2 linked regions of the Astyanax mexicanus genome follow. The protein of the gene in region 1 purifies or fractionates together with the protein of each later gene. This does not show direct contact. Links are inferred from orthologs where the notes say so. Each region holds a gene or a part of one and is shown in the gene's direction. Other genes may lie near its edges.

Region 1 (8,586 bases):
GGCTGAAAGATGAACTGTAGAGAGCTGTATTATCCGGTTAGTGGGGTTATTTTATTTCATACACAGAAGAACTTACAAATTTTTAAAAACGCTCCAGACTGGCTCAGCTGAGCCCTGTAGCCCGTGGCTGGGCTGTAGCTCTGACTAAGCAAAGACTGCGGGCTTGTGGTGCTGCTGCTGCAGCTCCGACTAGTGGTTGGATGAGGAACTGCTAAATCTGAGGAAATGCTAAATCTGTCAAAGCTCACAATTTTTGATTTTATATTTATTAAGCCTTATTTCAGTATCAAACGTTTTGATCAAAGTTAATATAACTTATAAATTAAAAGGATTTATGTTAATAGAGCAACAAGCAACCATTTTTCCATGCAACTGTAATATTTGATTGAATAAATAGTATATTGAGAGTTATTTAACATTAAGGAGTAATTACATTCATTTTGTATTACATCTGGTTACATTTTCTTATATTTATAAGTTACATCTGGCCCTCAGAGGACAGCCAATATGCCAATGTGGCCCTCGGCAAAAATGAGTTTGAGACCCCTGGTTTAGAGGGACTAGAGGATTGAAAGTAACAGGATTAAATAACAATATTTTGTAACAGGGTTGTAACAAAAGACAGTAAATACATAAGTCCGTTGTAAAAAATTTAATAATATTGTTTTTATACTCAGAACACACAAATACACAAAAATATATAATTACAGTTTTTTTCAACTGTTTACACACTAAATCTTTGCTTGTCACACTATTTTTTTTAAACATGCCCTTCAAACAACATTACCCCACACCAAATCTGCAAAACCATACACCAAACACACATTTTGCAAAACTCTACACACAAGTTTCTACCTAACACACAAAGATCAAACAGGAAGTTACTTGATTTCATCTTTCAAACACAACCTATCAGAATGCCACACTAAATCACCTGTGCTTCACTCCCACCCCTCACAGCACTCATTACTTTATTGAACACCAACGAATCATTGGCTAAGTATAGGCCTATAAATAGGTCAAATGTCAAGATGTCTGTTTTGAACCATGAATGACAACGAAGAGAGAGCCGGGAGAGTTTGGTAGAGGCAGAGGACGTCCACGAGGAGTTCAGATTCGAGGAGGAGGAGTTGGAAGGGGAGGAAGAGGACGAGTTGGACAGGGAAGAGGACAAGGGCAAAGAAGGGAAGCAAGGAGAGCTGTCTCAGATGAGATTAGGGCTACATTGGTTGATCATGTGATCAATCATGGGTTGACCATGAGAGAGGCTGGACTGCGCGTCCAGCCAAACTTGAGTCGATTCACAGTGACAGCCATAATCTATGGAAGCCCATTTCCGCCACCTGAAGAAAAAAAACGTCCTCAACTAAGTCATAATTATGGGATAGTAAGTCATAATTATGAGATAGTAAGTCATAATTATGAGATAAAAAAGTCATAATTATGAGATAGAAAGTCATAATTATGAGATGACTTTTTATCTCATAAATATGACTTACTATCTCATAATTATGACTTACTATCTCATAATTATGACTTTCTATCTCATAATTATGACTTACTATCCCATAATTATGACTTTTCTATCTCATAATTATGACTTACAGTTTTTCTCGATTGTTTACACACAAATATTGGTACTTGAAACACAATGACCACAAAATGTAACTCATGCACCAATACTGTTTGTAGTAAGTGTAAAACATAGTTCATCATTATGATGAATGGAGAATGGTGTTTTACACTGAGCACATCAGTGTTCAACTGCTTCTTTTGATTGTATGTTCATATGATGGTTTGTGTGTGTCATCTGAACACAAAATAGCCTTTTGTGAAGAGATAACACTCTTTTGAATGGAATGTTTCATTTTGCAGGAGAATTAAAGGGTTTTGCACCTATTGTGTGCGTGTTTGTTGGATTTGTGTGTTGAGTTCTGAGAATATAAGGCATGTTTTCAGAAAATATGTGTAACAAATACAGAAAAACTGTAAGTGCCTTTAAAGCAGAGAATGCTCTAGAATATGCAGAACAGTGGAAATATGCAGGAATAGGGTGTAGAAACACTGCTGTAAAGTGACTTCTGTTCATTTGTAGTTTACAGTAACACCAATCACAAGATCACAAATCAACCGGTTATATTGTAAAGTATGTTTTTGTATGGTGTTTCAAATTCGCGCTCAATGTGCCCTCTTTAGACTTTGAGCACCTGCCCCTCCAAATGTCTCTGCACAGGCCCTGATCTGGGATCAGTCAATTATCTAACTATCTATCTACCTACTCACTTGCTGTTTACAGGCCTGTAGGTCAAAGTTGCCAGGTCCGCGGTTTTCCTGCCAAATTAGGCTTGTTTGAAAATTCAAAATGATCTTGTTTTAAAAATTACCATGGCAGGCAAAAAAAAAAAAAAAAAAAACACACAATGTAACCAGATATCACCAGGTAATGAAAAAAAAAAAGTTAAAGTGGAGAGAAGAGAGCTCAGGAGGAGCAAGAACAGAAATGAGTAAGTAAAAGTCTTTTTGTGGTTGTTATAAAATAAGTAATAAAACGCAAATGTTACAATATTATTAATGACTTCAATGAAAGGTAAATAGTAATACTGATAATAAATCCCTTGCTTCGATGATGAGACAGACATATATTTTGGGGTATTTTACAGTTTTTCTTTGTCGATTTGGTACATTTCTCAGATCAGAATTGAAATTCTCAAAACTGTCTATTCAATCTCCATGCATTTCTCATTGTGTTTCACATTTTGCAAATGCGTTTGTCATTCAAATTCATGCAAATGATCATGTACAATTTTCAGCTGTTTTTTGCATTATCCATTGCTTATGTCGTGCTCATCAAAATATGATGTGCTGATTATCTGTTAAATTGTCTTACCCTCCAAAACAATTAGGTTTTAGGTCATTGCCTAAGTCAAATACATGCAAAAGTGCTAAACATGTTGTCATAATCTCTCAGGCATAATTCATACATTTCTATGAAACCTTTTTGGTACATTTTGGTAATTTATCCTAAATTAATGATTTTTTTTTTTTTTTGTCTTATCTTGTTATTTTGACTGCCTTGTTCTTAGGCATTGACACACAGGCTAGGCATTTTGATGTCACTGACAAGTTGATTTAAATAAAGATTTGCTGTTGAGGCAAAAACAAAGAATTGTGAGTGAGATACGAGCTTTGGCATGTTTTTCATTGAGTTTTGCTGTTTGCACTGTTTAAACTGTTTTGAGAAATGCACTTGTTGTGATGCCAATGTAAATCATGATGTGAGAAATGAACCAAATCAACTGAGAAAAACTGTAATAGTGTTTAATATCTATCTACCTATACCTATATCTATCTATATTAAATAGTGTTTAATTTTCTAGTAGGTAAATAGATATTAAAAACTATTACAGTTTTACAGTTGATTTGGTGCATTTCTTTTTTTTTTGCATTTGGTGCATTTCACTTGCTATTTACAGGCCTGTAGGTCAGAGTTGCCAGGTTTGCGTTTTCCCGCCAAATTGGGCTTGTTTTAAAAATTACCACGACCACCAAAAAAAGTCACAAAAAAACACACACAAAAAAATTACAATGTAAGCAGAAATGACCGTCAATGAGAAACAAATGATAAAGAGGAGGGGCAAGAACAGAAATGAGTAAGTAAAAGTCTTTTTTTGTTGTTATAATATAATTTATAAAACACAAATGTTACAGTATTACTAATGACTTTAAGGTCAATAGTAATACTCATAACAACTCCCTTAATATTTTGGGCTAGTTTAAGCTTCTAAAGTAGGTTTTACTTAGATTTTACTTTTACTCGAGTACATTTTAACACAAGTAATCTACTTTGCTACATTGGAAAACTCCCAATTACTGAGTAAAAAATAAAATGCTGAAAAAAAAACAATTGTCTGAATTAAAAAATATATTAATTGGCTTGGATGCTCTGGCGCACGGATGCTCGCGCGTGGAATAACGAGGCAGTAACGTCCTCATGCAATACAAAATGTGCCCCGCCAGACAGAGCTGTCAGCTTTCAAAACTTCCTCATCAAACCTGAGAAAGCATGTGGTAGCAAGTATTTTTATCATTAAACAATCTTTTGAATGTAAAAAAAATGTAAATAGCAGTTAAAGCAGAGCAATGGCAAGTTAAAATATAACAATGACCTGTAAACCTATAAAATTACAGTTTATAGTCACCTATATGAACATAACTTTTTAACAGTAAAGAAAAGAATGGATCATAGAAACCTTGTTGCCACTTATTCTTGAAAATGTTTTATGGGGTGGTCTGGACAAATACTGGTTGAAAGGTCCAAATTATTATGTGAAATAATTGTTCATTAAAAACGATTTAATTTATGATTTGTTGTACTTTTTTACATCAAATAATCAAAAGTAACTATGTAACTTTTACTCAAAGTACATTTTAAATTGAGTACTTTTTTACTTTTACTCGAGTAGATTTTTAGATGGGTACAAGGTACTTTTACTTAATTACAATTTTTCAGTACTTTTTCCACCTCTGTCTGAAGGGCTGGTTTTAGACTGACTTTGGGCTGGATATCTAAGTTGTACCTGGCAACCCTGCTGTAGGCGCACATCCCCCGTTTGGCCGCACGGTTTCGCTAAATCGCACCGCGCCTCCTCCTGTAGCAGTTTAATGGTGGACAGCAGATCAGACCGACTGAAAACAGCGCGGTTTAATCCGGATTTCTCTGCTTTATTTATTAAATCCTCCTGATTATAAACATGTCTCTTCTTCAGGTGAGTCTTATTAACGGTGATATGTGTCTTTAAGAGGTTTTAGAGCGCGGGGAAGAGCGGGACTTTCCCGGCTGTTTTTTTACTTTCGCTTTCAGGTTCGTTATTTAGTTCAGCTGCGGATCTTTTACTGCTGAACAGCCTCGTGCCTGTTCTGCTGCTCCTCCAGCCTTTTATACATCTTTATACACTAATATATTTATTTATTTAAACCCTGAGAGCGTTTTTCACACCTTAAACACCTTCAGCTCACTCAGAGAGGAGTTATATTACCTTTAGACTGGAGGTAAACACCGTGTTCAAGGTGTTTCACAAGGTAAGAACTCATTTTTAATACATTTAAACTTTAAAATATTAAACTCTGCACCCTCACTGCTTAGTATTACTGCTTAAAATTAGACTACACTCTAAAAAACAGAGGTACGATATGAGTACTTTTTTGTACTCGAAGGTACATTCTTTATAATTGTACCCTCAAAGGTACAATATTGGTCTTTACAGGGTCAGATTTGTTCCCTCTGAAGTACAAAGTCATTTCTAACAGCAATAAGTACAAATTTGTACGTTACCATTTAACCAGCCAAAGGGTACATTCAGTATTCTGCATCACTGTACTAATGAACAGTATATATTTAAATTGCACATTTTTTTATTTGAAAGCCAGACAATTTTGTATCATCAAGTTTTTGAGCCATTTTTAGTTGATGACAATGTTTATAATCTTTATAATCTATACTGGCACAAAAACCATGGGTACAAAAAAGGACTTTCACTGAAAGGTACTTTTTTGTACCTCAATATAAGGTACAGCCCCAGCGACAAGCTTTGTACTCTTTTAAGTACAAATCTGTACTTATATTTCTTAGAGTGTATATAATACTTTTTTCATTTTAAGAACTTTTTAAGGCCAAAGTTGTTTTTTTTGTTCATATAAGGAAACAGTGAAAGCGAAAGTAACACATACAGCAACCTAAAACAGGGAACAGACATTAATTATTTATTTTTACTCTGTTTCTATACATGGCTTTTATATTATTTGGCTTCTTTAGAAATGTTTTTTTAAAACAACTATTTGGGCTAGTAATGTTTTACTTCTAATAAAACACATTGAATAAGAAGAAGTGTGTCCAAACTTTTGCTGGTACTGTATATATTGTATATCTAATATATAAATATAGAATTTATAGATATATGTTTGAGTAAAATGAACATTGTTGTTTTATTCTATAAACTACAGACAACATTTCTCCCAAATTCCAAATAAAAATATACAAAGTCTTTTAGAGCACTTTTTTGCTGAAAATGAGAAAAGATGCAGAGCTTTCAGACTTCAAATAATGCAAAGAAAAAAAAACAAGTTCATATTTATAATGTTTTAAGAGTTCAGAAATTAGTGTTTAGTGGAATAACCCTGTTTTTTAATCACAGTTTTGATCATGCGTCTTGGCATCATGTTCTCCTCCACCAGTCTTACACACTGCTTTTGGATAACTTTATGCCACTCCTGATGCAAAAATTAGCTTGTTTTTTTCCTGTTTCCAAAACTCATGTGACATTTAAAAAGGTGTTTAAAAGCAAGTTCACTAATTCCTTTGATTTTCTCTCAGCAAAAGTGTTTGTTTTAAAGAAATGGTTTACTGCATGTTTAAATAATTTATATTTCTGACTGTATATATATATAATCACTATATATGCATGCACATTGTATTTTTCTAAAATACGCACAGCCATTTTTATCTTATCAAGAAGACCCAAACCTGAAATTAATCAAATTTTTTACTATGCAAAGTATTAAACAAATGGATAAATTATGAACCAAACAGTTTTGGAAAAAGTGGTTTGCATTAACCAATATTCACATTAATATCAATCAATAAACGAGGGGGAAATACTCATTCCTGTTACTGGACTTCACTCCTGTTACTGACGCTCACTCCTGTTACTTTTTGAAACAGGGAACACACATTAATTTGTGTGTGTAATATATTTGTATACAGGGCTCTCATATTAGTTGGATTCTTTAGAAATGTTTTTTTTTACTATTTAGGAAAAAGGTTTGGCACCCCTAATTATTTTCATGATTTTCCTGATTATAAATTATTGGTTGTTGAGATCAGTAATTTCAGTTAAATATATCATATAGCAGATGAACACAGTTATATTTGAGAAGTGAAATAAAGTTTATAGGATTTACAGAAAGTGTGCAATAATTCTTTAAACTAACCCTTTTATTAATTTAAATACCTTTATTCATATTACATTACATTACATTACATTACAATACATTTAGCAGACACTTTTGTCCAAAGCTACTTACAATAGTGAAGTACAGAAATAATAGAAGGTAAAAACATCTTAATATAGGGCCTAAAGGAGGTCAAAGGGCAATCATGGAATAGAGGAGTGAAGGAGGGGATATACCAATACTAATTATGAGAAAGGGATAATGTGGCCTCAAATGACCTAAAAAAAAAATAGGATCGTTTAACATCATGGTTGAGTTCCTGTTGGGTTTCCTGGAGGTGCTGAACAATAGTTGCTGAAGTGCCAGCTCATCAAAAAATCACCATCTCAGTTGATCAGGTTTAGATCAGGGGATTAATGTGGAGAAAAGACACTTTTTTGTGGTTTAATGCATAATTTTATATTTGTCCCTTAATTGTTTCTTTTATATTGTCTTTAATTTTAATCTACAATGTAGAAAATAAATTATATAAAGAAAATGACCTTTTTGGACTGGTACACAAATGCATATTTGCAGTATTTGACTATTTCTTTTGGAATTTGTTATTTTATGGATGCTTATATGGATATATTACATTGAAATCCTGTTTGTGTGTTTCAGAGCGGTTGGGAATGAAGGCGGTGATGGCGTCGTATCTCTCCTTCGTGGTGTTGCTGTGTGTGGATGTGTGTGTGGTGAGGACTCTCGGGGGGGCTCGGTTCTCCCCTCAGTTGGATCAGCAGGCGTGGGTGACGCTGTGGGCCGTGGGGCTGATCCGGGCCGCTCTGCTGCTCCTCACAGTCTTCTCTTACCCCGGCAGCCCCGCCTGGCTGCGCAGCTCTGAGGGGGTGCAGACTGTGTTGGTGCACAGTTTATTATACCCTGCATACATTACCTTCCTCTGCACCTGCGGCTGCTCAGCGCTGGAGCTGCTGTGGGGATGGCACACCTGGGAGGGGGTGAGTGAGTTATTACTTATTACTCAGTTATTGACCTTAAAAGTTACCTCTAGCTTAGATAGAGACAGTTTTATACATCTCTGCTGGATTTTCTCAGTCAGCTTTATGAGGTAGAGTCACCTGGAATTCAGGCTTTCAGTTAACAGCTGTGCTGAACTCATCAAGAGTTAATTACTTTAATTTCTTGTCTCTTAATAAAGTGTTTGAGAGCATCAGTTGTAAAGTAGTGAAGAGGTAGAGTTACAGGTATACAGTGAATAATAGCTCTACTTGAGTAATGTTCTAATCCAGATTATGAAAAGCAACAACTACTAAACTAAAGTAAACTAAAGTACTAAATACTTGGAATAATTACTTTAAGACATGAAGGTCAATCAATCTGAAAGTCAATTTCAAGAACTTTGAAAGTATCCTCAAGTGCAGTCACAAAAAAGACCATCAAAAACATTATAATGATGGAACTGGCACTCATCAGGAACGCTACAGGAAAGAAAGAGCAATAGTTTCCAATAAATTCATCAGTTACCAGCCTCAGAAACCACAAGTTAACAGCTTAACCCCAGATAAGAGCATCTAAAATCTTCTTCACAGAGTATTTTGGATTGTTTAACTTTTAAGTTACTTCATGATTCATTATGTG
Region 2 (9,117 bases), on another chromosome or scaffold:
ACCCTAATTGGGTTCCCATAGATGGAATGTGGTCTAGATAATTTTGGGGTGGGCATGGGCTCCGAGTGGGTTTGTAGCCTACATGTGTTGTTACTGGCACCCGGTTGGTCTTCCCAAAAGGAACCTGTTATCATGGTCCTATCACTAACTCTTGTTGGGGCCGTGCCACACGATTGACATTCATATGCGGTGCCAACATGGAAGCCGTAGACAAAACCTTTGTTGGTTCCCAGTTGGGGTACCCATACAGACCCAACATGGATATTTTAAGCTGCTCACTGACTTTAAAGTACACAGTGTTACTATAATAATAATAATTGTAAGTGGTATAAATCAAAAATGTTTGAACAGGCTCTAAAATCATCTTGTGTTTTTTCAGCCATCAACCTTTCTACAGTCATGCAGCTGTGAGGATGGCATATCAATTGACATGAACCATGGCACCACCACACTGGCTTTCAAGTTTCGCCATGGCGTCATCGTGGCAGTTGACTCTAGGGCTTCAGCTGGTAACTACATAGGTAAGTATACTCACATCACTTTACTTCACAAGTTACACAAAGTAAATCACATATTCACAGAATTAAAAAGTTATAGCATAATTGTAAATTACAATACCACACCCAGTCGTGTAATTTTTATACCATCCTATATGTTTTGTTTCTAATAGACACAAAGGAAGCAAATAAGGTGATTGAGATCAACCCTTACCTGCTGGGTACCATGTCCGGCAGTGCAGCAGACTGTCAGTACTGGGAAAGACTCCTGGCTAAAGAGTGCAGGTTTGTTCGAACTTGAATCGTTTGAGGATGGAGGGAGTGCACATATAAAGTTACCATCAACTGTGTGTGTGTATGTGTGCGCATGTGTGTGCATTTGTTGCCATGTCAGGAAATTTTGCCAGTCATCTCAACTCAGCAGATGCATCTATGCACCCAAAAGGAAAATCTTTTTCTTTACATAAGATAAAGTGCATTAAACATGCTATGGTGCTAATTTTCATGCAAAAAAAGTTATTCCTTATATCAACTAAATCATTCAATTAACCACATTCAGTTGATAGTTGGGTTCAATTTCCCTAACCACACCCAGGTACAATTTAATGACAGTGTTCGAATGCAAATACAGATGTAAACATTCCCAGAATGTATACAGTCTGCCAGTCGGGGAAGTGTTACAAAGCTAAGTCTTAAACTAGGTCTTTGGGAGTCATTATCCATGAATGGAGAAAATTCTGAACAGTGGTGAAACTTTTAATTTAGTGGGCAGCCTGTTAAACAAATTCAGCATGTGTGCATTGCCTACAAAAACATCTTAAGGATCTGCAGTCATTTTGTGCCTCAGTTACTATCAACGTACACAATTTTAGGATCTGTGGGATAATATTCTGTGGTGGTAGAATGTTTTGTAAGACATGGATCTTGATAAATCTGGTGGAAAGCTAACTCTGCATAAGAACATAATACCAATAGTCAGATTGTGATTTGCTTAAGCAAAGATGGGTTATGCAAAAGGACAATGATTCAAAGCATACAAGCAAGTCTATGGCCCAAAAAAAGAATTACGGTGTAGGAATGGCCAAGTCTTAAATGGACACATCGTGCCTGAAAACTCACCAGTGTAGTTGAATAAAAACAATATTGCAAAGACAAGCAAACTGAAATTCCTCAACATAAGTGATTGCAAACATTTGATTGCAGTTATTACTGCCAAGAGTGTCACAACCAGATGTTAGATGTATTTTTATGGGGACGATTTATTTTAAATATGGGTGATATGATTTAAAACCCTTATTGTGTGTTTAATTAGTTGGTTTAGTTGGATAAAAGGAAACATTTCAGTCTGACAAATAAAAAAAAGAATACTTTACTTTTCCATAGCACTTTATTAACACTGTTTTATTTTGACATAGAAATAAGGTGAAATGTCCAATAATGGAAAGCAAATAGATATGAGACGCTAACAAATTACTAATAAATAATTAAGATATCGGTAAAGTGTATTTGAACTAAATATGTCAAGTAAATTTTACTTACGATTAATTTAAATTGAAAAATTACCAGTATAGCTAATAAAAACACATTTTTTACTCCAACATAAATGACCAAAGCATAAGTGTTGCATTATGTGTGAGTGTTTTGTGTTTTGTTTGTGTCTTCAGGCTTTACCAGCTACGCAATGGTCAAAGGATCTCTGTGTCTGCAGCATCCAAGCTGCTGTCCAACATGATGATAGGTTATCGAGGGATGGGCCTCTCCATGGGTAGTATGATCTGTGGCTGGGACAAGAAGGTACAGCATTATATGTGTATATTTTTGAGATTTTATTTTTATTGATGAGCAATATATACATCTATGAGATATTTTTAAATGATGTCATGATTCGTACTGAGTTGACCTGCCACTGATCCTTTTGCCCTTGCTTTTGACATTCAGGGTCCAGGTTTGTATTATGTTGATTCCGAAGGTACACGTCTCTCAGGTTGGATGTTTTCCACGGGCTGTGGGAACAGCTATGCGTACGGTGTAGTGGATGCTGGCTACCGTGAAGATTTGACTGTAGAAGAGGCGTATGAGCTGGGCCGACGTGGCATTGCCCACGCCACTCACAGAGATGCCTACTCTGGTGGAGTGGTCAACCGTAAGTCATTTTTACTCATAATGCACTCATAATACTCATACTCATAATACACACAATACATAATACACAATACTACATTCAAAGTAGTGAATTATGTTTACAGTAGATTACAATTTGTTTCAGCATGATGAAACCATACAAATTATGCAATAAACACTACAGACTTTTCATCAAATCCATGTTTATATGCAGATTTGTGATATCTGTTTTTTCTTTTATGTCTTTGTAGTCTATCATATGCAGGAGGATGGCTGGATCAAGGTATGCAAGGAGGATGTGTCTGAGCTAATCCACCGCTACAGAAAAGGAATGTTCTGATTCCAGATCAGTTCTTATTTAGTCTGATGTAGAAACATTGTCATTGCTCTGTAAATGGGCCAAATTAAGTCAGAAATCATTTTTAAATAAAGTTTTTTTAACTGAACACTAAACAAAGTTGTATTTCTTTTTTGGGTCAAAAGTGTCAGTTCTGATTTGTCCTGTGGGATTAATAAAGGATTATCTCAATTTACCCCAAAACAGGTTCTTTTAAAAATAATTTATAATGCATTATCTGATGTGAGATATGATGTTGCTAATGTAAGCTATAAGTGTTGCTGATCATTCTAAAATTAGCAATTGTCAACAATTATCCGGAGGTTGTACTACACAACATATGCTACACATTATTCAATAGCAAAATTCATACAGTATCTGATTATGTATGCTACATATAATTTTCTTACAAAACAAATCTTAAAACTTTGCATAAAACAATTAGTTTATTTTTTGTTCATGTAGCATTACCTCAGCCTTAAACAATTTAGGTATTGGGTAATGAAAACTTAGGTTAGCTTGTGTGGGTGTAGATTGTGACAGAAGCCAGTGGAGCCCACAAATGTTCAACTATCTCAAAATAGTTGAGGATTGTTTAGAAATATCCAATTTTATGTAAAACAGATAATTTGAGTTCAAACAAGTATGGGTTTAAAGTGTGGGAGTTGGTCTAAGATAATTAGAGGCCGGACTGGTTGACTAGGAACAGTCACTGAAAGTTTAACACTGGTTAAATGTGCTGGAAACTTTTTCCTCCTTCTCGCCCTGTGGTGGGGCATCACCCGAATACCCTAAATTTGAAACCGCAACTGATGTTACTGCTGTTCATTCATACTTATCCATGCTGCTACAGGAAAAGTGCCTTATTCACTCTTCTCACACTAATACTCATGTTGCTGCACTTTTTCTTTTTCTTTTAGCTCCTTTTCCCCTACTTTTCTTATTTATATGCATGTCTATGTGACGATGCTCGTCGAACTCCCAGGGAGACACAATGTCACCAGGTAGTATAGCTGAGTAGGATGTAGTGGATGGAGGTACCACGCTGATGCCACATGAGTCCGTTCAAACAGTGATCATTTATTTAAACCCAGTGAAAATGCAAAACAAAAAGATTGATTAAGGAAAACAAAACATATTAAAAGGACACTCCCTGACTTAAAGCAGTATAGGAAAGTATTAGAGCCCAGGCCACAAGATCATAGAACTCCATAGGTGCTGACCCACTGAGGAAGGTAAACGTAATAACATTAAATCAGCAGAGTTATAGGCCTTGTGACAATACTTGTTAACATTAAACATAGTGTACAACAAAATTTCCTTTTTAGGACTGACCTCACCCCCCTACTAGAATAAGCAGTGAACCCTACAGCGTACCCCAATTAAGTAAGTCAGCCCCCACATTCTTATTTACAGCTCTGGAAAGAAAATAAGAGACCACTTACAAATTATGAGTTTCTTTGATTTTACCAAATTGAAAACCTCTGGAATATAATCAAGAGAAAGATGGATGATCACAAGCCATCAAACCAAGCTGAACTGCTTAATTCTTTGCACCAGGAGTGGCATAAAGTTATCTAATAACAATGTGTAAGACTGGTGGAGGAGAACATGCCAAGATGCAAGAAAACTGATAATAATAAATATTCTAAATGACAATATTTTTATTTGGAATTTGGGAGAAATGATGTCAGTAGTTCACAGAATAAAACAACAATGTTCATTTTATTCAAACATATACATATAAATAGCAAAATCAAAGAAACTAATTCAGAAACTAAACTGGTCTCTTTTTTTTCTTAAAGAGCTGTACATACAGATGTAGCAGTTTTACTGACCTCAACACAGCCCATTTATCTATTTTATTCTTTATTTTATCTTTTATCTTATTTTTCTTAGATAATAATTGCCCTAAAAACTAAATACTGATAATCAAATGGATTTTGAAATTTGAAATTTGAAATTTTCTGGATAAAATACATCAATATAAAAATACATCTAAATATATCCCCATCTAAAAATAAAAGAAAAATCACTAATGAGGCAAAGGCTTTGTTTGAGCAGGAGCTGTTGAGAAATCACATGATTGGTGAGAACAGGGTGAAATAAGGTCAGTTTATGATCTGCCCCTAGTGGTGAAGTTCAGGGTCTGTGGAAACGACTGTCCTGCAGCGCCACCCTGTGTTTAATAAAACCACATGCTGCTTTTGAAAAGAGAAATATGAAGATTAAGGGTGGGTAAACCAGCTCCAGAACGTAAAAATCCATCACAGGGTTTCCTGCCAACTGCCTGGGCGGCTCTGCTGCAGCTGCGCTTTACACAGAGCCGCACATGCAGTCGGTACGAAACCCTGGGATGGATTTTTACGTTTATGAACACATTATGAACAAAAACAATTTCCATGGCCTGTTTGAAGGTAGTATGTATTTGCTAAAACACCCTACAAAAAAACTTAAAATTAAAATAATAACATTAAAATGTCCAAACCTGGCTCAGATATTTTTGAGACTTTTTTCCAGCGCATGCGCAGTCCGCGTTCATAAGTGAAAGTGAAATGTGTGTTGCTGGGTTTCGCAGGGGGATTTTCGCTGCTGTTTTCTGACTGCTCTAAAAGTCGTACGAGCACTCTAAACACACCGACAGCGAAGAAAAATGCGTGACATTTCCACTATTTACAAGATTTCAATTCTCGCCTGTACTTTGGCCATCGGCGGTGAGTATTAGTATTATGCATTACAGCTGCCCTGCACAGACATTTGTTCTGTCGAATTTTGCTACCCATCGATACATGCTTCCCAAAGGTACTGCGCATGCGCCGACCTACACAATTTAATTCTTTCTCGTGTTTTATGTATAATTAATCTGGTTTAGGGGGCGTTATGTGCATTAAACAACCTGGACGCACTATCATTGCACAGAAGTGTAAATGGAAACTAAAAATTACACTTATTATCATAAATAAATACAAAAGCAGTTTGTAATGAGCTATATTTACTATAACTTTGCCATGGTACAATGAATTATGCACTCCAAATCTAATAACGTACATCTACTGGAATATCACTGGGTACATGCCCTAAAATAGTGCTTCTTTTGTATTTTTACAGTTAAATATTCATTGGGGCAGCACGGTTCGACAAGGTAGCAGAATTCGACAGAACACATTAACTATGGCCATCGCCAGGTTAGCTTACTAATGACAACAGCAGCCTGTATAAACTCACTGTTCGACAGGAAATACAATAGCGAGCTAATTTGAAGAACATTTATCGAGAAAAACATGGCTAACCTAACAGTTTGGACAGCTTTTATAAGTCGACAGTGTGTTAACTGCATGTTTTTACTCTTGTCAGACTCATTATAGCATTAAGATTCCATATGGAAAAATGTTATGTTTGTAGGTATATGTTTGAGTAAAATGAACATTGTAGTTTTATTCTATAAACTACGGACAACATTTCTCCCAAATTCCAAATGAAAATATTGTCATTTAGAGCATTTGTTTGCAGAAAATGAAAAATATGCAGAGCTTTAAGACCTCAAATAACGCAAAGAAAACAAGTTCATATTTATAAAGTTTTAAGAGTTCAGAAATCAATATTTGGTGAAGTAAATCTGTTTTTTTAATCACATTTTTCGTGTTTTTTCCTCTTATGTTCCATTATGTTCTAAAGGTTTTCAATTTGGCAAACAAACTCATTATATATAAGTTTGGACACACCTTAAAATCAGTGGGTTTTTATTTTTTAAACTAAAGCCATCCAAACTATGAAGAAAAAAACATTACTGGAATTATTCAGTAAACAAACAAAAAAACTTTTAATCAGCTATTTAGAGACAATCTCCTAGATTGACAGCTGTGCTTCGTCAAGAATTTGAATTAATGTGTTTGAGAGCATCAGTTGTGTTGTAACGAGGTAGAGTTGGTATATAGTGAACAGCCCGATTTGAGTAATGTTCTAATACATATTATGACTAAGTAAAAAACTAAGTAAAAAAGTAGAAATATTTTAAGACCTTCTTAAGAAAGTATCCTCAGGTGCAGTCACAATGACCATCCAAAAACATTATGATGAAACTGGCTCTCATCAGGACCCTGAGTTATCTCTGTTGCAATGGATAAGTTTATCAGAGTTGCGAGCCTCAGAAACAGAACCAGTTACCAGCACCCCAGATAAGAGCACCTAAATGCTTCACAGAATGTTTTGGCTTTTTTTTATTACATTATTCCTTTATGTGTTCCTTTATAGTGAGGATGACTAAATTATTCATTTAAAATAAAAAATAAAAAAATCCTTAAATTAGGTGGATTTCCTTTTTTATATTTAAGTCATCCAAACTATAAAGAAAAACGTGGAATTATTTAGTAAACAAATAAGCCTTTCTTAGTCAGCTTTTTAGAGGTAGTCACGCAAAGACCATCAAAAAGGCTATGATGAAACTGGCTCTCATCAGGACCACTCCAGGAAAGGAAGAACATGGGTTCTTCTGTTAGACCGGATATGTTCATCAAAGTTATCAGCCTGAGAAACCACAAGTTAACAGCACCCCAGTGTGTGTGTGTGTGTGTGTGTGTGTGTGCAACCTTGTTATGGCATAATTTGCCTTCCTTATCTGTCAGCAATATTTTTGTTCTGTTTTACTTTTACTTTTACAGATGTAAGTGTACATCGGTTTCATACTTTCATATTTAAAGGTTCACACAAGATGTTTGTCTAAAAGACCATTTTATCTGTTGGTGACAGTTTCAGGATGCTCTGTGCTGGAGTGCTGGTTTGTGCAGGAGAAACCAGGCCGTGGAGGGGGCTTTTCAGCTGCTATGAGCCAAGAGAAATCCCTCATCTACATCAGAAAGGACCCAGATAGTCCAAAGATGCAGCAGAAACCTCCATCAGACATCGATTTCTCCCGAATTTACTATGTAACAGGTTAGTATTAGAGTAACTTTAGTACCCGTCTGGAAAAAGTAGCATGGACCAGTATGAATTCCATGCATATCTTAGTGTGATGCTTTCTTAATCTTTTATTAATGTGCAGTGTTTTAAAAAATACTAGGCCCTGGACAGCATGTATATCATGTATAAGCAATGCTTGAAAGTCTCAAACAAACCCAAAAAAAAGATCATACTAAATATTTTTGGTATTTATTTTACAATTTTTGCCTGTACCAATTACAGGTGATATCTATAACCTGGTTCAAATTGTGACTTGTACCTAGTCCTGAAACTATAAGCATTTTTTTTTTCGATTGTATATTTTTTCCAGAAATTATTGTGATAAATGGTAATATTTTTTAAATGAAGCATATTAATGCAATTACACCACTTTTAATTAACAATGCACTTTACTTTTAATTATTAGAAACTTTTAGATGTTAAAATTGGAGTATAAAAAATAAAATAAAATAATGGGCTCTTCTCGTTAACAAAACCCAGAAATATTTAGGGCTCATTCCATTCTGCAGATAGGTTCACATAGATTCTCCTCAATATGTAAAACTATTAAAGATGTGTTTGTATAATGTGCAATAAATCAATAACATAATTATCATGTCAGGCCAACCAGCATTTTTATTTGGAATAATTATGATTTTTTTCTGTCTGTCACTCCTGAAGCATTGCTGAACGTGTCAAAATACATAGATATTAATCACTGGTTTGTAAATGTAATATAAAAATCTGAGTATGCTGGAAAATGATTTTACACTTCCTTCTCTTTATATCTTTCAGATCCCGCTGCCACTTTCTGCAGCTCTTCACTCCATCCACCTGAGGGCTCCCTTACCAAACCTCAGTGTGAGATAAACCCCTTCACTCCTCAAGCATCTTTGGTTAAATGGGCTGCATCACTCACAGAGACAGGCCAAAGCCCCACCTACCTGGATGGCGATTGGTATTCTGTGGCAGCACAGGGTCTTGATGGACAGCTAACACTGTCCAATGTGATGCAAGCTCCATCAGCTTCTAAAGAACCAAAAGGTAAAATGAGCTTGCATATCTTGCATATTTTGCACAAGAGAACACAGACTTGTATGCAGAGGAATATAGGATCAGATGAGAAAATGAATGTTGTACAAACCACATATTACAAACCACTAAGTTAAAGCAGATTTGGGTTGTTGTGTTTTTTAGTTGCAGTGTCAAAAGGTCATTTTTGAAGTG

What was found.
Region 2: the proteins of tap1 (region 1) and tapbp.1 purify together in Homo sapiens (co-immunoprecipitation; 6 studies listed by BioGRID and IntAct, with this or other methods). This does not show direct contact. The link is inferred for Astyanax mexicanus from reciprocal best matches to the Homo sapiens genes TAP1 and TAPBP.

What each region holds. Positions count from the first base shown.
Region 1 is NC_064408.1:118,044,002-118,052,587, forward strand, and holds the start of tap1 (antigen peptide transporter 1), read left to right. Parts: upstream 1-4,627; 5' UTR 4,628-4,766; intron 4,767-4,848; exon of another isoform or gene 4,849-5,079; intron 5,080-7,608; 5' UTR 7,609-7,619; coding exon 7,620-7,946; intron 7,947-8,586. UniProt on the Homo sapiens protein: ABC transporter associated with antigen processing. In complex with TAP2 mediates unidirectional translocation of peptide antigens from cytosol to endoplasmic reticulum (ER) for loading onto MHC class I (MHCI) molecules.
Region 2 is NC_064410.1:22,173,658-22,182,774, forward strand, and holds the start of tapbp.1 (TAP binding protein (tapasin), tandem duplicate 1), read left to right. Parts: upstream 1-5,494; 5' UTR 5,495-5,608; coding exon 5,609-5,669; intron 5,670-7,701; coding exon 7,702-7,884; intron 7,885-8,685; coding exon 8,686-8,934; intron 8,935-9,117. Other genes in the region: psmb8a (proteasome subunit beta type-8), read left to right, coding at 380-521, 671-782, 2,162-2,291, 2,436-2,640, 2,870-2,958. UniProt on the Homo sapiens protein: Involved in the association of MHC class I with transporter associated with antigen processing (TAP) and in the assembly of MHC class I with peptide (peptide loading).